4 linked regions of the Caenorhabditis elegans genome follow. The protein of the gene in region 3 interacts with the protein of the main gene of each other region in a biochemical or structural test. Each region holds a gene or a part of one and is shown on either strand. Other genes may lie near its edges. The genes, in order: gpr-1, gbas-1, goa-1 and rgs-2.

The links.
Region 1: of the proteins of goa-1 (region 3) and gpr-1, one has a biochemical effect on the other in vitro, tested with the Caenorhabditis elegans proteins (2 studies listed by BioGRID).
Region 2: of the proteins of goa-1 (region 3) and gbas-1, one has a biochemical effect on the other in vitro, tested with the Caenorhabditis elegans proteins (one study listed by BioGRID).
Region 4: of the proteins of goa-1 (region 3) and rgs-2, one has a biochemical effect on the other in vitro, tested with the Caenorhabditis elegans proteins (one study listed by BioGRID).

What each region holds. Positions count from the first base shown.
Region 1 is NC_003281.10:8,627,230-8,631,287, reverse strand, and holds gpr-1 (G-protein regulator 1), read right to left. Parts: upstream 2,363-4,058; 5' UTR 2,332-2,362; coding exon 2,084-2,331; intron 2,033-2,083; coding exon 1,532-2,032; intron 1,482-1,531; coding exon 874-1,481; intron 822-873; coding exon 601-821; 3' UTR 512-600; downstream 1-511. Other genes in the region: DnaJ homolog dnj-10, read right to left, coding at 20-113; polk-1 (DNA polymerase kappa), read left to right, coding at 2,792-2,992, 3,046-3,198, 3,267-3,501, 3,550-3,905, 3,956-4,058. UniProt on the Caenorhabditis elegans protein: In the 1-cell embryo, probably together with gpr-2, controls nuclear rotation and spindle elongation during mitosis. Complex of gpr-1 and gpr-2, in association with lin-5, activates G-protein signaling to affect mitotic spindle force.
Region 2 is NC_003280.10:2,502,894-2,507,916, reverse strand, and holds the start of gbas-1 (G-protein alpha subunit activating protein gbas-1), read right to left. Parts: upstream 3,040-5,023; 5' UTR 3,036-3,039; coding exon 2,906-3,035; intron 2,278-2,905; coding exon 2,004-2,277; intron 750-2,003; coding exon 529-749; intron 1-528. UniProt on the Caenorhabditis elegans protein: Acts as a non-receptor guanine nucleotide exchange factor which binds to and activates G-protein alpha subunit goa-1.
Region 3 is NC_003279.8:7,520,254-7,527,262, reverse strand, and holds goa-1 (Guanine nucleotide-binding protein G(o) subunit alpha), read right to left. Parts: upstream 5,148-7,009; 5' UTR 5,054-5,147; coding exon 4,893-5,053; intron 4,593-4,892; coding exon 4,451-4,592; intron 3,232-4,450; coding exon 3,071-3,231; intron 2,867-3,070; coding exon 2,738-2,866; intron 2,690-2,737; coding exon 2,560-2,689; intron 2,225-2,559; coding exon 2,071-2,224; intron 2,019-2,070; coding exon 1,945-2,018; intron 1,522-1,944; coding exon 1,408-1,521; 3' UTR 551-1,407; downstream 1-550. UniProt on the Caenorhabditis elegans protein: Guanine nucleotide-binding proteins (G proteins) are involved as modulators or transducers in various transmembrane signaling systems. In the 1-cell embryo, probably together with gpa-16, controls nuclear rotation and spindle elongation during mitosis.
Region 4 is NC_003284.9:12,710,846-12,715,688, reverse strand, and holds the start of rgs-2 (RGS domain-containing protein), read right to left. Parts: upstream 3,037-4,843; 5' UTR 3,029-3,036; coding exon 2,946-3,028; intron 1-2,945. UniProt on the Caenorhabditis elegans protein: Weakly inhibits G protein signaling in nervous system, interacting preferentially with the G(O) subfamily member goa-1. In vitro, it acts as a GTPase activator of goa-1.

The sequences.
Region 1 (4,058 bases), on a different chromosome or scaffold from region 3:
CAAATGGAGAATTATTAACCTAATTTTGTTGTGGAAGTCGTAGGCGTGGATACTTGAGCTAATAAAGGTACAGATCGATGAATGAGCCCGCTTGAACGGTTTAAGACAAACATTCCGAGTACCCTGAAACAAATTCACATTTTAAAATATAGAACATTCTAAAATAAATAATAAATTAATAAAATTAAAATAAAAAAATAAATGTTTTTTCAAGCTGTCTGCAAACACCGTCACGGTAAAACACACATTTCGGACGGAACATCGGAGCATCGTTTGGATTTTTCAATTTTCAACTTTTTCTCCGCGAATTTCAAAATCCGGCTCTTTTTCGGGAAACAATGCTTATTTACTTTCAACAATAATAAAGCTGGAATGGATGAACCGGATAAGGAGAAAATCACGAAAGTCATCAACGTATGTAGTAAAGAGTCTATAGAAATATGACTTGATGGATTTTCGCTAATTGAAAAAATCAGCTTTTCTGACCAGCAAATAAAATAAAAGAACCACTAAAATGATAATAATATTTACTGAAAGAAAGTAAAAAAAAAATAAATAAAGAAAGTTTGATTGTATTATTTGACAGAAAAAATAATGGTCCTATTTGGACGTCATTGTCACATCATCGCTTCGAGTATCATCGCCCTGCATCGAATTTGTAGAATCCAATGACGATTTGCTTTTCTTCGACCTCTTCAGGATCCTATTCATTGTGTGACCATCGAACTTCATCGACTGCACTTTTGTCCAATTGGCACGGAGTCCAGGGAGGATTCTGTGACTCTTTGTAGTCTTTTTCGATGCCGATGACACTGGACGAGCTGGAAAAATATAAATTTGCATACTTATACGCTTATTTATAACATTTCTTACGCGGAATGAATCTGGCAGCAGGCAGTTCAGTTCTTTGATCATCCATACGTGAGCTCATACTGAAAATGAGATCCATCATGTCTACGGGTTCCTCGTTCTCTTTCTTTTCGATCGCCACTGGTTTCTTCTGGTCGTCAATGATTCCGTTGACAATCATTTCCCAGGTTTCCACATTTGTTGCGTGCTCCAGTTCGACGACGAACTTATTAATCATGTCATTCGAGGATGTCGGATCAGGAGACGAATCAATTGCGAGGCATACATCTTGATCAGTTGCCGTTTCGCTTCTCTCTTGATTCATCGCCACGTCGATCTGCTCGTAGAACAGTTTGAAACTGTTTTGGTTGATGGTCAGAACACTCCCCAAGATGATAAAATAAGCAGCTTGGCGTCTTTTTCCAAGTGCAATGAGGCACTTTGCGATTGTAAGCAACACATCTCCAATGTATTCGTTCAATCCAAGCTTCCGAATCGATACAAGCGCTTCCAATCCGTAGAGATATGCTTCGTGGAATTCGCCATTTCTCAGCATCTCTTCGGATAGCTTCGACTTATATTTGACTACATCTCGCTCTTTTCCGAATTTCGTGGCGTAGAAGAGAGCACTTCTGTGAATAAAGAATTGATATTTTTATTAATCGTTAAAACTAAAAATTACCTGAGATCTCTGATAATAAAGAAAAGAAGATCTGTCTCAGCATATAGAGCCTTGTCGTAATAGGCGATGTGAACTGCTTCAAACTGGTCTGTTTTGATGGCAAAATCGATGCATTCTTGATACTTGCGACGCGATTCCTCGTATTTTTCGTCTAGTGACAAGCATTTCGCCTCAAGTAACATGATTTTGGTCTCAGACACAGCTCCTTCCGTATTATTCTCGTTGAACAATTTCACGGCTGCAATCTGTTCAGCACATATTGACAAAAGCTTCTTCTTCTCATCTTGATTACTCTCGACGTCTCTTTCACATCCTTCGAGGCACACGGAAGCGAACAAAATTCGAGCTTGACCGATATACTTCTCTCCGTTCTTCTTATTGCTGGTGTAATCAATGAGATCCTCAGCAAACCGTCGAGCCTTGGGGAACTTTCCCATTTTGAGTGCCTGCTCGACGATGCGACGTGTGGAATCACATGCTTCTGGGTAGTTGAAGATCAATCTGAAAAATTAAGGTTATAGAATGTCCAGCTCATTTTTGTGATTCACTTACTTGAACATGTTCAACTCATGTTCGAAAAACTCCAAGGCCTTGGCATCATGGTTCAAATGCCTGCACACTCTTCCGTAATACATGTAGATTGTACCAAGTAGTTGAAAATTTGAGGTTCCGAACTCCATTATCTCCTCTAAGCGTCCTTTTCCATCCTCGTATTGTCCCAATCTCATGGCCGTCACCGCGCTTTTCAGCATTGCTTCGGCGACTTCATCCTTGGGACCATCGTAATAAGAGACGTCCATTCGTTTTGCGAATGTGGAAACTTCTGAAATGAATCGAAAATTGCAAGCAAAAATAAAAGAAATAGAGGAATTTTACGGAAACAGGCAAAACATTCCCGCGATCTCCACGAATACACGAAATATTTAAAACGGGGAAAGTTTCTTCAAATATCTCACGAGGTTTAATAGACTATTGCACATTTTGTTATAAATTTTACAAATCTTCAATAAAACAACCGCTGACAAACAAATAAACTTGAAAAATGACTCGAGAATCTCGAGACAGATCTGTGGGGAAGTGAAAATTGGCGGTTAACGCGTAGTTTTTTCTCGCGCACTCAACTTCTAATTTGGCGCCGCTTTCTGATATGTCGTCAAATGTGTTGCCGATGTACGTAAGTACACCATTACGCGCATTTGCACACTCACAATCAGTGGAGTTTCTCCGCGAATTTCAAAATCCGGCTCTTTTTCGTGAAAAATGCTGACTTTCAACGATAATAAAGCTGGAATGAATGGACTGGATAAGGAGAAAATCACGAAAGTCATCGAAGAAAACACATCAGCGTCCTACTCGTCGTTTTCCAAAAAACAACAATCAAGAATTGAAGAGAAAGTTTTAGAAATCAAAAATCGTTTGCAAACAGCAACCAGAGAAGAAAGACAAAAATCTGAGATACTGGTATGTATTTTAAAAGCTAATAAATTTACTTAGAGCAAATTTCCAATTTTCAGATGGAGAATCTTGAGATGAAACTGGAATCATCTAGAGATTTATCAAGAGACTGTGTTTGTATAGATATGGATGCTTATTTTGCCGCAGTTGAAATGAGAGATAATCCTGCACTGAGAACAGTTCCTATGGCCGTAGGCTCATCGGCAATGCTGGTAAGCACCTAACTCAATTTGAAAAGTAAATTTTCGATTTCGGAAAAGCTTTAAATCTATTCTTTCAGAGCACATCCAACTACTTGGCTCGCCGTTTTGGAGTCCGTGCTGGAATGCCTGGCTTCATCTCAAATAAACTTTGTCCGAGTCTAACGATTGTTCCAGGAAATTACCCTAAATACACTAAAGTCAGTCGCCAATTTTCACAAATTTTCATGGAATACGATTCGGATGTTGGAATGATGTCATTGGATGAGGCATTTATAGATTTGACAGACTATGTGGCAAGTAATACAGAAAAAAGTTAGTGATTTAGATTTGATTATTAACAAAAAACTATTTGCTTACTAGAAACCTTCAAGCGTCACAGATTCGGCGGAGATTGTCCATGTTGGTTACCCCGTTTCGACGAGAATGAAAATACTTTGGAAGACTTGAAAATCGAAGAATCGATCTGTCCAAAATGCGAAAAATCGCGGAAAATCTACTACGACCATGTGGAGTTCGGAACTGGACGAGAGGAGGCTGTTCGAGAAATTCGATTTCGAGTTGAACAACTCACGGGATTAACATGTTCTGCTGGAATCGCATCTAACTTTATGCTCGCTAAGATTTGTTCTGATTTGAACAAACCAAATGGTCAATATGTGTTAGAAAATGATAAAAACGCGATTATGGAGTTTTTGAAGGATTTACCGATTCGTAAGGTGAGACTATTAAAGCATAACCTTCTAGTTTTACCTAGATAATTTTTTAGGTTGGAGGAATTGGTCGTGTATGCGAAGCTCAACTGAAAGCAATGGATATTCAAACTGTTGGTGATATGAATCTGAAGAAGAACCTATACCCTTTGTGTTTCA
Region 2 (5,023 bases), on a different chromosome or scaffold from region 3:
AATCGGGTGTTTCGGGAGTACTGTAGTCGGTGTTTGCGTATTTTTGGCGCTACCGTACCCCTCAAAGTGTCAAAATTGAGCTAGCGAGCTCTAGTTTTTTGTGTTGAGTGTCAAATTTTGAGGGGAACTCGAATTTGTCACTGAAACTGCCAATTTCCGAGTTTCAGTCTAGGAATTTCAGAAAAATACGGTTTTTCAGATTTTCAAATTTTTTTCTGCGGAATTTAAATATGAAATTCGAATTCCCCACTATTTTATTAGTCTATCCCTGAATTTACAGCTCAAAATTCGAAAATCGCGTGAAATCCGGTGTTTCTGGGTTACTGTAGTCGGTGTTTGCGTACTTCTGGCGCTACCGTACCCCTAAAAATATCAAAATTGAGCTAGAAACCTCTAGTTTTCGATTTTCAAGCTGGAATTTCGCAGGGAATTTGAATTTGATAATGAAAATCGAGAAAATTTGACTTCAGACCGATTTTCAGACAAAAAATCGGGGGGTTTTCATGGAATTTTCAGCGGAATTTTTACCCGAATCATCTTCAGAATCCGAGTGTTCCTCATCCCAATGGGTGCACACATCACTGCCAATAATTACTCCAAATTCGTCAAATTCCACGTGGAATTGCTCGACGAGCCACTGCTTTTCAGCATCGGTTACGACTGGCATTTCACACGCGTAATATAGATCAACTTTTTCTTCTGGCGTCAATCCGAGCACTTTGTAGAAGCATTTCGAGTAGAAGCTGTAGCTGAAAAAAATTGGGGAAATTTGCTGAAAATTTGGCTGAAATCTAAATTTTTAGAACTAAAATTTGAAATTTTCTCCGAAAAATGGTCGGAAATATGGAAAATTCCGGCTTAAACTTGAGTTTTTGCTAGAAAAATGCACAGAAAACTGAGAAAATTCGGTAAAAAGCGAAAATCTTTTTTTTTGCGAAAAAAAAACCAATTCTCAGAAAACCGCCAATTTTTCAGGGGTTCAAAATTTTTTCTACAAAATTTGAATATTAAATTCAAATTCTCCGTCATTTTCTTAGTCTAATCCTAAAATGTCAGCTTAAAATTCGAAAATTGCGTAAAATTCAGTTTTTGGGGTACTGTAGTCGGTGTTTGCGTACTTTTGGCGCTACCGTAACCCGGGCAATTTCAAAATTGAGCTAGAAATGCCTAGTTTTCGGCGTTTAGGCCAACAGTTTGCAGGGAATTTGAATTTATCACTGAAACTGCTCATTTCCGAGTTTCAGTCCAAGAATTTCAGAAAATTGTTGATTTTCAAATGTTCAAAAAATTTTCTCGTAGTTTTCATTGTCAAACTCGAATTCCCCGCCATTTTCTTAGTATATCCGTGAATTTTCAGCTCGAAATTCGAAAATCGCGTAAAATCGGGTGTTTTGGGGTACTGTAGTCGGTGTTTGCGTACTTTTGGCGCTACCGTGACCCTCGAAATTTCAAAATTGAGCTAGAAACTTCTAGTTTTCGCGTTTCAGCCTAAAATTTCATAGTGAGTTCGAATTTGATACCAAAAATGCAAAAATAGTCGGAATCGTTCGCGTTGCGGTCGCGTCGCGGTCTTTGACTGAAAAGCTGCACAATTTTTCAAAATAAAGCTAAAATTCAGATTTTTTTGGTATAAAACTGAAAATCGAAAAGAAATCCGGGTTTTTTAAAAAATTCCACAACATTTTTGTATTTTTTCGCATTTTTTCTAAAATTTTCAGGTGCAAATTGTTTTCTCCGCATTTTTATTATGAAATTCGAAATCCTCGCCATTTTCTTAGTCTAATCCTGAATTTTCAGCTCAAAATTCGGAAATCCCGTAAAATCGGGTGATTTAGGGTACTGTAGTCGGTGTTTGCGTACTTCCGGGGCTACCGTACTCCTCGAAATTCCAAAATTGAGCTAGAAACTTCTAGTTTTCGATTTTCCGACAAATTTTGCAGGGAATTCGAATTTTTTCATTAAAATGTTTGATTTTTGATTTTAAACGGTTCACAAAACCCTACTGATAGCGATATTGTTTCGGTAGTCGATATCCTTGAATCTCTCGTTTATATCGTTCCCAATATTTCATTGAATTTACGCCCACTCGTTTTTTAGCAACTCTTCCGACTCTTCCAGGCTTCTGGCTCCGACATTCGTTGAGCACAAATCGAAAAAGTTGCAAACTTTCGTCTTTTTTAAAGAAATCCTTAGTTCCACGGGTTTTATTCACTCTTTTCGAGGATTTAGGCGTTGAGGTGTATGGGCTCTCCGATGGCTCCGAGAGCACTTCTTCTTCTGAAAAAAGAAAATTAAAAAATTTCACAAGTTTTTGAGTGAAAAATGAAAATTTGGGCATAGCTTCAGCATCCCCGGTGACAAATGTGCTCTATTGCACAAATTGTTGGCTGGAATACGGTATTTATTGCATGTTTCAGCCGAGAATACCAACTATTCAAACCATCAATTAGGATAGAAGCACACAAGTCACAGAAATTTCAGAATTTTTGGATTAAAAAATGAGTTTTTAAAGTCCTACACGTATAGAATAGTGTTTTTTTTTGGAAAAACTGATGAAAATACTAAGTATAATTCAAATTTCCAACAAAAAAACGAATTTTCCAAAAAAAAATCCTTCATTTTGAAGGAATTTTCGAAAAAATCCTGGATTTTTTTTGAGATTTTTTTAAAAATTTGATTTGATGCATAAATTGCAAGATTTTTATCTGAAAAAATCAAATTTACAATTAGTTTCGATTTCTGACAATAGAATATTCAATTTACTCCGATTTTCCCCAATTTTTTTCAATTTTTTTGAAGAAAAATCTATTTTTGTCGTTTTCAACTTAAATTTGCTGAATTTTTCGATTTTTTAATTCTTTTCCACAATTTTAGTTTCATTTTTCGAGTTTTTCCAATGCTTTACCATCATCTTCCCGCTCAAAATCGGCGTTATCCACCTCATCCAGATCGATTTCTTCGAGATCCTCGTCTTCATCAAAAACGAAGCGTTTCACTGGCTTCGGAGTTCGTGAGGAGCTTCGTACCGACCTCATTTTGCTGAAAATTACATTTTAAAGTAAGGAAAATTGATGGAAATGCAAAAATTAACGGAAAAATGGAGAAAATGTCAGAAAAACTTTAATTTTTGCGCTTTTTCAGTGAATTTTAGGTTAGATTAAAGCGAAAAATTCGATTTTTTCAGAAAATTTGGTTTTAAACGAAGAATTTCGAGGATTCGAGTCGAAAATTAGTTTTTAAATTTGAAAAAAATAAAATGCTAAAAATAGAAAATTGAAAGCGCGCTCCATTGGCACGCGTTAGAGAGCGTGAGACGCAGAGAGAGTGCGGGAGAATTTATTATTTAAATTAAAATAATAATTCTTTCCCGTTTTAACTGGAATTTTATAATTTCTTGAGAAATTTCCATTGAAGAATGTCCGAAAATCAAATAAATTTTAATTCTATCGAAAATATTCAGGTTTTCTTCAGTTTCACGAAAATGTTCATTTTTTCAGTCAAAATTGAGCTTTGGAAAATTATTAAAAATGAAGGAAATCGGAGCTAAAAAACAATTTGCATAGGAAAATTCGAATTCCTTGCAAAATTTCAGTCGGAAAATCTAAAACTAGAGATTTCTAGCTCAGTTTTGAAATTTCTCGGGTTACGGTAGCTCCGAAAGTGTGCAACTACAGACTACAGTATCCCCAGAAACACCGGATTTCACGCGGTTTTCGAATTTTCTTCGGAAAATTTAGGAATAGACTAAGAAAATGGCGAGGAATTCAAATTTTTTTATTAAAATGTGGAGAAAAATTTTTGAAATCATGAAAAATGTGCATTTCTATAAATTATTAAAATTATTATGCTCTGACTATCTTTTTTTCGATAATTTGTGCTAAACTGGACTTTTAAAGTATTTTATAATATAATCTAGAATATATAGATAACAAAAAAAATCTTGCGTTTTGTTATCATTACAGAAAGTATCAATTTTCCACCCTCCCGTCCACTATCTATTCCCTCTAGTGTCTCACAGCCCAAGTCTCTCATCTCTCAATGCTCTTTCTTTTTCCGAATTTCCCTTCATTCTGCCTCCAAGACAGCCTACTGAATGGTTGTCCCCCGTATTCTTCCCCAATTTTATTGATTTTTTAAATAGTATTTAGCTTTTTAAATATTTTTTTAAGACAAAAATCGAGTAAATGTAAGTTTTTTGCTACTTATTTCAATCGGTATTGATGTTTTAAATGATTTTTTTTCAGTTTTCCTCAATATTTTTTCTGCTCAATAAACGATATTATAATACAAGTGTGAGAAAATTTATTACTGACCTAGTCCCTAACCATCCAAGAGGGGACAATATTTGTGTAAGTTTTCACCCACTTAGTCCCTATTACTTTTCAATTATTTTTTCAGGCAATTCGTTAATATCAAATACTGGTTTTGCCAGAAGAAATAAAAATCCAGAAGAAAGAAAAATCTTTTGTTAACAGTTAAATGGCAAGCAGGGTACAATATAATTATTAATAAATGTTTTTAAAAAAATTGTGTTTAAAGTTTTTTCATCAATTGAAGGTCAGGGGAAATTGGGTTGTATACGACTTTGTCTGGCACAAATCTCAAAAAATCTCTGTTGTTTTTTCACTTTCAAGAGTACATACATTTGGTTTTAAAAATTTATAATGTTTTTTTTTAATAACCACAAAAATTTAATTTTAATTAATTTCAATCGAAAATTTAATTTTTAAAAAGTCCAAAACAAAAATTTCAGATATTTCAATTTTCAAATTCGAATTCTCCGCCATTTTTTTAATCACTCTGCAAATTTTCAGCTCAAATTTCGAAAATCGCGTAAACTTCAGTGTTTTGGGGGTACTGTAGTCGGTGTTTGCGTACTTCTGGCGCTACCGTACCCCTCGGAATTTCAAAATTGAGCTAGAAGTTTCTAGTTTTCGAGGTTCAGACTGAAATTTTGTGAAGAGTTCGGAAAAAAAGCATTGAAAATTTTGAAATTTAAGTTCTAGATTAGTTATCAAATTTT
Region 3 (7,009 bases):
GGAAAGTGTATGAGATATTCTCTTTTTTTTGGCAAATGAACAGAAAAAGTGAAAGTTTATCACATAGTGGGAGGAGGAGGGAAAAGCTGATGGAAAATGAACACAATTGTGTGACAAAAAGGACACATTTTTAGATGATTGTTGTAAAATTTAATGAAACTTGACATTTGGAAGGTTTTTCGCTTTAGTAACACTCACTTCCGGGTCATTTATCTTGAGAAAATCATTATCTGAAGACTATTTTTGGGGTTTCCCACTTTTGATGTTATAACAATAGGTTTTGATTTTTTTAAATCTTGGTAATGATGGGGAAATTGTTTTAAACCATGCTAATAATTCAAAATAACAATTAAATTTTAAATTCGCGCGCGAGGTTTAAACTTCTTGGTGGTTATTCAAAAAGGAGTTCAGGGAAATTTAAATTTTATCGAGTTTTAAAAATATTGGTTTTTTATCTAGACATATGTACGGTAGTCCCATATGCAATTTCCCATGCAAACTAAATCACTGTACTTTTGTATCCACCAAACTGAATTTGTACGAAAACTAGTTGAGGATGTCGTTTATATCAAATAAGATATCAATGAGTGGGTGCAGTCGACAATAAACCAATGCGGAAAATATCGTCTACTGCACACCATCGTGCTCACCGACAAAAAGCGAGACGATTTTAAAGAAAAAAGATGGAAAAATGAAAAAGTAAAAGAAAAAATAGGGAGAGGAAAACAGCGAGAAAAATGAGTTTGGAAGTGTGGTTTTAGGAAAAGGAGGGAAAATGGATGAGAGGGGAAGAGTAGAAATAGAAAAATACCAAAAATTAAAAATAAAATCTTTAAACATAGACAAAAGCTGCCATTATTTAACTGTTAACAGTGACTAGGTGTGTTGAAAAATGGGAGAAAAGAAAGAAAAAAGGGGCAAAGCTTTATAATTCGGGGTGAAGAGACCTTTAGGGGGTGTGTGGCGGAACGGGACGAATTCCAACTGAATTTAGATTTTTAAAGTTTTCTTGTTTTCAAATAGCGATAAGGCTACACGGGAGTGAGAAGGGCGGGGGATGTGGCGTGAATAATGACAATATATAATAAATAAGAAAAAAGGAAAAAATAAATAATTGTGAGTTTTATGTGTTATTTTTGTGACAGAAAAATTAGGGATCCTAGTTGAGAAAAAGAAGGGCGGTGAGACTATTATGAATGAATCAGAGGTTAAAAAAAAGCCCATATACATCTGAAATTGCAACTTTTTCCAAAAAATAAAAACAGTTGCAACCATAATGTACATGTAAAGCTCTCAAATTATAGATGCATACTCGGGGGATGAGAAAAATAACGAATCTTTAAAAATTTGGGAAAAGTAAGCAAAGATACACACAGAATGGTAGAAGAGGGCGGCGAAGACGACAGCTTAATACAAGCCGCATCCACGAAGATTATTGGCAATAATCACATCGGTGACAGCGTCAAACACAAATTGAATGTTAGTTGTGTCTGTGGCACATGTCATGTGGCAATAGATTTCCTGCAAATAAGAATATTATTTCAAAAGAAAACAAATTAAATGAAATAATGAATTAAAATTATTACCTCAACACTCAACTTTAACTACCTATTCAAATATGAAACTACAGTAACCGCAATATCGGAGAAAATGTCGAGATAGTAAAAATCTCAAATTTTGGTTGTAATTACTTAATTGAATACGATTCAGAGATTTTTCTGGTTATCATTTTCTGTGACAGATTAACAAAACAATTGAATATTCGTGTTTACTTAAAAAAAATTAAATTTTATAAATGTTTCACACTTCAAAAAATTTCCAAAATTAACTAGATATTAAAAATTATAAAAAATATTATTCTAGAAAAACAATTTATACTTTTCGTGGAACAGGAACCCCATAGGCTTCTCTGATTTCATTGATTTTTAGACTTTTTTTTCTTACCTTATTCGCTGATTTGTTTTTAGCCTCAAATTGTGCTTGAATATACGCAGATGCCTCGTGGTAGTCTTGTCGTCCTACAGGGATTAAGAAATTAAAACATTTATTGGAAATTCAATTAAATTTTACCTGAATATTCTGGGAAGCAGATCGTTAACGGGCTTTTCTTGATTTTCTCTTCAAACAGATCCTTCTTGTTCAGGAACAGAATAATCGATGTATCTGTGAACCATTTGTTATTACAGATCGAATCGAACAGCTTCAGCGATTCGTGCATTCGGTTCTGAAAATATGAAATAAGGAACAATAATGAATAATAATGAATAATGAATAATAGAATGAATAATAGAATATAATTTAAAAAAACGAGTAATTTTTAAATTATCATGTTTCTTTTATTTTGGCAAATATATTGTCGGTCAGAAGTTGCATTTTCGTTAGAAAAATTAGAAGAAGAACATTATTTTTATTATTGTAAAAGTCGACTCGAACGACCAAGTCATGATTGGAAAATCGTTTAAAAAACATAAAGTCTCTAAACGATATTTTCTAATTTTAAATTTTGTCTGTCTTTTTCAACAAAAAAGCTTCTAAAATATTAAAATATCAATTTCTCACTGTTGTCTCATCTTCGTGCAACACTTGATCATACTCTGACATGGCAACACAGAAAATAATAGCAGTAACATCTTCGAAACAATGAATCCACTTCTTCCTTTCTGATCTTTGACCTCCCACATCGAACAATCTGTAAATATTCATTATTAAATATTATTTTTTTATCAAGAAAACTCACTTGAAATTGAGATTTTTGAATGTGAAGTGAACTTCAACAATACCAGTTGTTTTGACACGAGTTCGGAGAATATCTTGCTCAGTTGGTTGATATATTGCCTCTCCTAACCTTTCCAGGTCGTCAAGGAAACTGAAAAAATGGTTATTAATAAATTCTATAAACTGCGAAATTTCTTGAAATTTTAAATTTGGTAATATTGAAAATGAGCTTGACATGTAACATATTGATTCGAAATTTAGGAAACTCTTCTCAATTTATGAAAAAAACCACTTTGGTTGTTATGGAGATAATAGTTACTTGAAATAATTTTTCAAAATTTTGAATTAAACTTACTATTTGGCTGAATCATTCAATTGATACTCGTTACTCCTTGAGAAACAATCCTGTACACCTGCGTCTCCCCACAACCGTTTCATTGAACTGAGCAATTCTTCTGAGAATGGCTCTGTGTCCTCCATTCGTGCCACCACATCCATCACTAATTTTGCATCTACCTGAAACAAAAAACTTTGATTTTAGTTCTCGATAACTTTATTCGCTGATGAAAATTGAATAATTCACAGCATGTCATGTACATCATTTTCCCAATTTTCTCACAAAATTGAAATTGGATCCTTGGCTCTCTTCCAATGGTTTGTCCAAAGGTCTCAAAATGGTCATTTTATTTCAATTATCTCAAATTACTTTATATTCGGTGACATGCATAGTCACGTCTTGTTAAGATTAAGGATATATATAAAATTGAATGATAAATGTTCGATCTTCACATCAAAAACTTTTTTACGTTTTCGACACGACAAATTTTTGTTGAATGCTAAAATATGTTTATATTTATTCTTACGATTTGTTAAAGTTAATTCGTAAATATTTGATTGTTATTTATTAATTTTTAAAATAAATGAATACGTTTTTATTGAATAACTATGAAAAATCGATTAAAAATTTGGCTGCAACGAAAATTAAACATTACAGTACTCTTTAAAGGCGCACACCTTCTTGCATTGAACACAAATTCATCGTATAAAAACCGGGAATTGCATTTGTGACGCAATAACAAAACATTTGACGTCTGAATGATGTAAAATCTTCTCCAAAACGTTGGGAACATTTTTTTCTGATGATTTGCCACATCAATCGAAAATGTGTTCCCAAAGATTTTCCAACATTCTAGAATCCCTTCCAAATCCCAATTCAAAATTCCTGCCTCGAACATATATTTTTGGAATACTAGGTCGAGTCTACGAGTTTGTCGGTGGCGCGTCGCGCATCGAAACTCACAAGGGAATTGGAATGGGACGGTGGTGTGGTAGCGGGATGCATTGAGTGCAACGAGAGGCAATAAGAGTTGCAGAATGTAAGAGAGAGAGAGAGAAAAAGATACCGAGCCAATGAATACAACAGATTATGTCATTTATTCTCATGCTCTTCGTTTTTCGTATCTTTTTATTCGTTATTTTCCAAATATTTCGAATTACTCTTCAGAACACGGGAAACATTTTTAATTGAATAATGTTTATGTTCTATCTATAGATCACAATCGCAAGTAAATTTCAGAAAAATAAGTTTTATTTTGAAGTAACGTTTTTGTCGTGCTAATCATTAGCAGCTAATGGACCGAAATTAATTTTTTCCATTAAGGGATCACTTGAAAATTTCGTGCCTCATTTTTAAATAATTTCGATTTTTTTGCAGAAAAATTGTCATAATACTCACCTCTCTGTCAGCCGAACCAAATGAAACGCCTAAGTTGCTCATGGCTCGCAAAATAGCGACCAATGATTGAACCGTGTTACTGTAGACAACCGGCTTGTACTGTTTGTAGTCTTCTGCTGTGAATCCCGATTCGTGAATAATTCTGAAAAAAAAACATTAAAATGTGAAAATTTGTAAAGGCGTGTTTCAAATTTAAACTATTAGAGAGTTGAACTTACTTTTCAAATTTTGAATACGAAAAAAAAATTAATAGCAGTCTCTAGTGATTTATTTACTTTTTAATTAAATTTAATTTTTAATAATTCAAATCGATCAAACGAAATATTCGGACGTTCTATGGGACAATTTCGGATGATAAATTCTGAGTTTTTCACCATTTATTTCTACCATTTTCGTTTATATATGTTTTAATTTGTTATTTAGAAATTTAAAAAAATCTCACTTCATCTGTTTTACAATAGTCGATTTTCCTGATTCTCCTGCACCAAGTAGCAGCAGTTTGATATCTTTTGCCGCTTGCATGCCGTCTTCTTTAAGATTTTTCTCAATCATTCGTGATCTTTCAAGAGCGGCACGCTCTTCCTGTGACATGGTACAACCCATGGCGCTAGAGTTGATGAACGGTGGACCCTATGCCCCGGTAGCGGTCTCCACTTGATATCCTCTACTCACTCACTGTATGTGGTGCAGCTCAGCGCTGAAAATAAATTGAAAAAATTAGAATCGAAGTAAGTTATAGCGGGTTAAAAAATAAGGAAAAGAAAAAGCAATCGAGCGAAAAAAAGGGACACAGTGAGATGGAGAATGAAGAAATGGATGGATGAGGGATCGAGGGCAGAATATAGATGAGATGAGAGGAGATGACAAAAATGACGAATGAGGAAAATAGAGGGTGCACGTCGTCAAGGCGACTAATTTTTATTGAATTTTCTTACTTTTTCATTAATTTATTTTAGTGGTAGAAATATGCAACCTACAATACTCTAAACAGGGCCTTTCTAATTTTTGCGCAAACATTTTTTCAAATCAGACGTTCTCTCAGATTTCTTTGGAGCAGCGTCAGTGGGGAAATTGTTAAAACGTTTGCATGTTCGAATCCCTGCAATGTTTGAGTACTAAATTCGAAGGTGAAATTTTTCTTGATCTACGACAGAAAAATGTACTAACTGTTAAACTTGCAGATGAACTAAATTAGTTATATTTCAAGAATGATCAGAGATTGTTCATTCAGTTTTCTATTTTAGAATCAATTGGTTTAATCTGAAATCGAAATGAAAATCAGCTAATCGAGGATAAACATGTTTTGCAAAATCAACCAAAAAGAAATTTTACTACATGCTTCCGGCCGGGTCAACGTTCTCCACAAAAAGGTTAGAAAATAGATAATTTGTAAAGAACAGAAGCAAAAAAATAGACGACAACGTCTTCGATTTTTCCGTTTTCACTGCTTCTGCTTCTTCTCTTTCTTCGTTGTCGTCGTCGTCCTTCTTTTTCTTTTTTTTTTGCGTGGCGCAAAAAAATGGGGGAGCAACTGCGACGACGACGGCGAGCAGGATGGTGGGGTTGGAGAAGGAAAATAGAGAGAAAAGCGAGGGCGAGGAGAAGAAGAAGGTCATGGGCATAGCAGAAAAGGGGTAGTAGTAGCCAGGGGCAGCCAGTAGCCGAAACAGGAGAGCCCCATCGTTCAGGGGGCAGCGACAGTGAAGACGAGGGTCGGCGGCTACTTGCGTTGCGTGTCGATTCGAATTTTAAATCATGATGAGGATCAGAACCATGCAGATATTCTAGTAGTCGGAGTTATCTGATCACAGGCGGCGTTTGAGTTAAAATCTTAAAATATTGCATAAAAACTTAAATTGTCTGACAGCCTTAATAGCGACTTTATGATGCCGAAAACTACTATTTAAAATTTAAGTTTCAATCGACGAACAGCGCCGTAGACTAGGTCTCCGTGAACCAAAAGCTATAGGAACATAAAGCCTTTTTCCATGTGCCTAATTGTTTTATTTTCATAATAAATGCATAGACAGCACTGGCAGCGATACACAAGGAGACATGTTGAGTGCCGTACACCGGAGACCACAGCTGGACCCTCTTACAGATTTTCCAGTCGAAGAACGGAGACGAGGGGACACGAATAATAAACAATGAGTGAAAGTATGAAAGGGAAAATCAAGAAAAGATAAAAATAGTGGATTACGCAGAAATAAAACCTTAACTTGAAATATTTTACTATTAGTTTGGAATTTAACCTTATGGGAAGCTCATTCATGAAAGTGTTCACAATTCTCATAAAATCGTTCCAATGTGGTTTGAGCCAGTAAATATGGCGGGGTTTCCAATAAGAACTGTTATTGAAGAACGTAGAAACAGAAAGATTATTTGGCAAATTTGAAACTGAAAATGTCATTTGTCTGCGGAACAAATATTTTTTAAATAATTATTTTTATTTGAACTCCCAGTCTTCTATTTTTCGATAAATTATAGGACATACAAAACAGAAATCAGGAACCAACGAGCGTTGCGGCAAGAAACGATGTGTCACAAAACATATGCAAA
Region 4 (4,843 bases), on a different chromosome or scaffold from region 3:
TGGTAAAATAAATGAATATCATAATGAAACTTTTCAACGGAAATTTGAACTTTTTATTTACGAATCAAAAAACGGGGGAAACATGGTTTTTACCTTTTTTCCCCAAAAAGTTGCGCAAACTTTTTCAAGTTTTTTTTTTACTTGAAAGTAAATACAAATTTCAATTTTATTTTCAAAAATTTAATATGATATATGTACAAGCGGTACGCCACTTCAATTTTTATTTAAATTTAGAAACATAGAATAATTGAAATTAAACATAATTGTTAGTTTAAAGGAATTTGCGTAGCAACATAAATCGCTGTTTATTGTTTTCACCAACTTATCACGTGTGTGCTTGTCGAGAAGTTTCAAACATTTAACTTTACCATAAATCAATCAGAGAATCGATTAAAGCCATGATACAAGAACCTGAAGAACGCATTCGCAGCAAGTTGTGAGAATAAGTAGAACCTCGACAAAGTAAGATCCAATAAAGCCGAAAATCGCAAGTTTAATGAACTGATGCCGAGCAAGTTTTCAAGTAAATGTATTCAATATTGACCAGATACACCTGCCACCTTAATATTGGAGTCCTTTGGATTCGAGATATTTTCCGCTCACACTTAAGCTGCTGACGTAGTACTATTTCAGGTGCAAATTTCACTGTTTGCAATCGTTGTTTGTCGTTTTCAAAGAAGATCTTGGAGAGCTCTTGATGATGTTTTTTTTGTTGATTCTAGTGATTCTAGTGATTTGACCAGTGATCTTAGCTCAGCAAAATAAGAAAAAAAATTGGAAGAAATAGTTGTAAAATGAAGTGAAAATGTTTAAAGGTAAAGACTATTTAAACGAAATCTCTAGCAAAAAATAGTCAATCGGAGAAGTGCAAGCCGCATTTTGATAATTGCTTAGTAGATTAAGCAAAAAATTATTTTGAGAGAGAGAGAGAAAGAGAGAGAAAGATACCATCAACTTTCCCAAATTTAGTGTAAACGGCCCTTTGATTTGATAGAATATTAAAAGAAAACTCATGCGCACAAAGCAGAAACAATTATAAGAGGATTCAGAGAAAATACCTGTGTCTTGTCCATCGAATGCATCCCAACCCTTTGACCACACTGAAAAACTTGCTCCAACGGCTGATAGACGTCGGTTGATGAACCGCTTGATTTTCTCCTCCAATGCTGTCAAAAACCACTGCGTGGTTCGGACCACTCATTTTTGTATTCTTCAGAAGTTTACGTAGAACCGTGGAATAGAGTTTTGAGTAAGAACTTCGGAAAGAAAACAGAGACGAGAAATAGAAGAAACAAGATTTTCAAGTTCGAAGTTTTTTTTTCTTCTTCCGAAGCTGCAATTACAGCAAGAATGTTGGTCATGTCATCAAATCTACATGATCGCTTCTCTTCTAATGACTGGGTGGAGAAGTTGGAGAGCCAGCGCTTTCTTACTTGCAAATGTAGTCAACAATGAAAATGAGAAAGATAAAACGCAGAATAGAACTCAGTTACCATTGACGTATGCAAGGATGACTGTCTAGGATATGACACCTGTTTCAGAAGACTTTGTCAGGGCAACTTGGCTTAGATTCATTTTATTTATTTATCTATGTAGATGATTGTTGTATGAATTTGAATCCTCATATCGAAATTGTCTAACTATCAGAGAAGATTTTGCAAAGCCTTCTGTATCACTGTTGTTTCAGTTATAAATTTTGGAATCCTTGACGCAGCCATACGGGGAGTATGACAAACCTCTAATTTAGATTTCTCTAGCAACCACCTATCCTATAATTACTTATGAATGTGTATTTTGGCGCAGCATGCTGCTGCGCCTAACTTGAAATAAATGACTATCAGAAGGCAACAGCGTCGGGAATGGGCAGTGAATTACGAAGCTCTCCTTTGATTGATAACAAACATGGTATAATTGTATATATTCGCAACTTTTTGAATTTCCAAATTACTACCCTATGGTCTCGATCAGTGCTGCGCTCCATTGCTCCATTTTGGAAAGATATACTTCGGTCCATTTTGAAGATATCATTAAGCAGTTAATTAGGCAACTATAGAAAAATAATTGAGCATTATTTATTCTGTTTTTGTTGTATTATAAAAAAGAAGAGAACCATAATATGAGCAGCAAAGTTTAGCAATAAAGTGCAGCACTAATAAAGAGTATTTGGGCAAGCTGAACTTGCCACTCATTTGCTTTCTTTTCATTTTTGAAAAATACAATTTGAAGTATACACGGCATTAGTTAATATTACAATAATCACAATGTTATGCGGTTTTTTCAAAGTTTTTAATTTTTAACCTTTTGTTGTTAATTTTTTGAAGTGTTGCATTACAACTGTCGTTAATTTTTTGGCTGTTGACTAGAGAAATAATGGAATATTTGTCCTTGTCACGTAACATTTGGTTAATCGAATACATTTTCTTTTCCGTCTCCTGTCCTCTCATTCTCATTTCAATTTCCATCCGCTTCTTCTACTGCTACTCTTCATTATTTCCTCATGTGAGGAAGGCAAGTGAGCTACTGAGCACGCCTGAGCATACGCACTTTTTTCTTGCAGTGAATCAGATTTAATGAGAACTGCATGATTGGAGACGGAATAAAAAGAAAAAAAAAGAGGTCGGAGCAAACATAAAGGGGAGACATAGTTTTTTATAATATTTCGCAAAGTTCACGTTGCGGAACGAAATTGAGGGACCATAAAAAGAATGAAATTAATTTGAACTTTTGATTCTGAAGTGTGTTTCTAAAGGTTTTAATTTATCACCTAAGTTTTTCTCTTTGGGGCTAATTACTGCTTAATTAACATTCTCTGACACAGAATTAACATAGAAAATGCTATATAAATCTTGTTGTCTTAAAAAAACAAGCTTATACAAGTGTCAAATTAACGAAAATTTGGTTATGACCTACTCAAACAATTAAATTCAACGCAAAACTCAACTAACCTGACATACGGTTTACCGCTTGGTGAAGAATTGTGAGTGACACAAACGATGATTTTTCCAAAACAACTTATTGCACATGACATGTTTGCCTCTGAAAGTTTATCCGGTAAAATAAACTTCAAACAAAACATGAATTTAAAGGAAGAAAAAAGTTCAAAAAGGAAAAAGTTTAGAAAATGAATAGAACCTCATTGAAGAAAAAACCTTGATGAGAAGAAGAGGATGGGACACTTGTGGCTGTGGCGGAATATATCGATGCCTCGCGGACACACGCATACATAATACTAGAACCACTTCTTTCTTTTTTCTTTCCCTTTTCCCTTCATTCTCTCACTATATTTAATGAATATATGGATGATGAGTGAAAATTCAAAAGATACTGGGGCCACTGACGCTCTGGAGGTCTCGTGTCATGCGATCCGTTTGACATTTGGCAAAAGAACAACTTTTTCAGATTTTCAAGTGTTGAAAGTTAAAACTATTATAAAAACACAATTTGGATTTAGTATATATTTTTTTAATTTGCTTAGATTAAACAACTGTAATGTTTCAATTTAAAAATGGATCACCCCTGCTTTAGCACATTACTTTTGTAAAATTAAAATTCCTTAATTATTAACAAAAAAATTAGCAACATTTTACAAATCTCTACATTTCAGGAAGAAACTGAAAATTTTCACTTTTTTTTCAAAGCAAATATACAAAAAAACCAGAATAGTTTCCAAAAACATTTTGTCATGTGTGAAACCGTTTAAGGCGATTGCGAATGAAAGTGTGTGGGATGGAATATGATTATTGTTGCATAAAATATGTTGTTCTGATTTCCCATTCCAGAAATATGTAAACATAAATATTAAACTTTTACTGCGGAAATTTAAGACAAAGTTATTCGAAATTATAGGATTTTCCTACTACTAGATTCCACATTACTTCCAAATCAAAAAAATTAGCATAAAAACAAGATTTTAATTGTTTTAATTAATTTATTATTTTTATGAGAAAACATGTTAGCCCTTTTGTCAAGTTTGACCACAGCTACAAAGTTTAAAAAAACACAACATGTTTGGGCACTTGAAACAAAACCAATTGGTTTGTTGGCTTTCCACACAAGAGAAGAAAAAAAAGCAAAAAAAAAACTGAGAAAGTCAGTTTTTTGTTAGTTTATACGTTTTTTCAATGTTCACTTAAACACCTAAAAGCAAATGTTAAAATGAAAAACATACTTTCCAAATTAGCATTTCACTGAAGACCAAAATACTTGCATTCAATTTATAAATTGAGCTAGCACACCACATTTCACGGATGCAGTCTAATGGGTTGTGGTTTTTGGCACTAATGTATAGGAAATCATCCAATTGAAACGAATTTAGGGCTGGAACTGTTAAGTTTTCAATTTGAATACGTTGAACAATTTAATAATGTCAATAAAAAAAATTGGTGGAAATTTGAGTACAGAACACCTAGTGTTCCTAGTGTTTACAGTAACCCTACAGTACTCTCACGTACTAATCATTCTTATTTTCAAACAGCTAATGAATCTTTCTGATGTTAAAAATTACTTCACTGAACATTTTCCACAGAATCAGTTGTTTTTCGAACCATCTCAAATGCTCCGCAAAAAAATGAACTTTTATTCTCAAATCACCTACGCAATTAATATGTACTGGATTTTGCAACGACATGAAAAAAAAATACGAGGGCAATATTGACATTTGAATGAACAATGCTAAACAATAATAGTGGATCAAAAAAGATTTGATCACTGATCCCTCGATGAAATTGGATATGAGAATGGTATGTTTAATTGAATTGAAAAACTTCTAAGCGATCAATGTAAGAAAAACAGTGCCTGGAACGAGGGTTAGCGAACATTTGTTATAGGATCTTTGAAAATACGT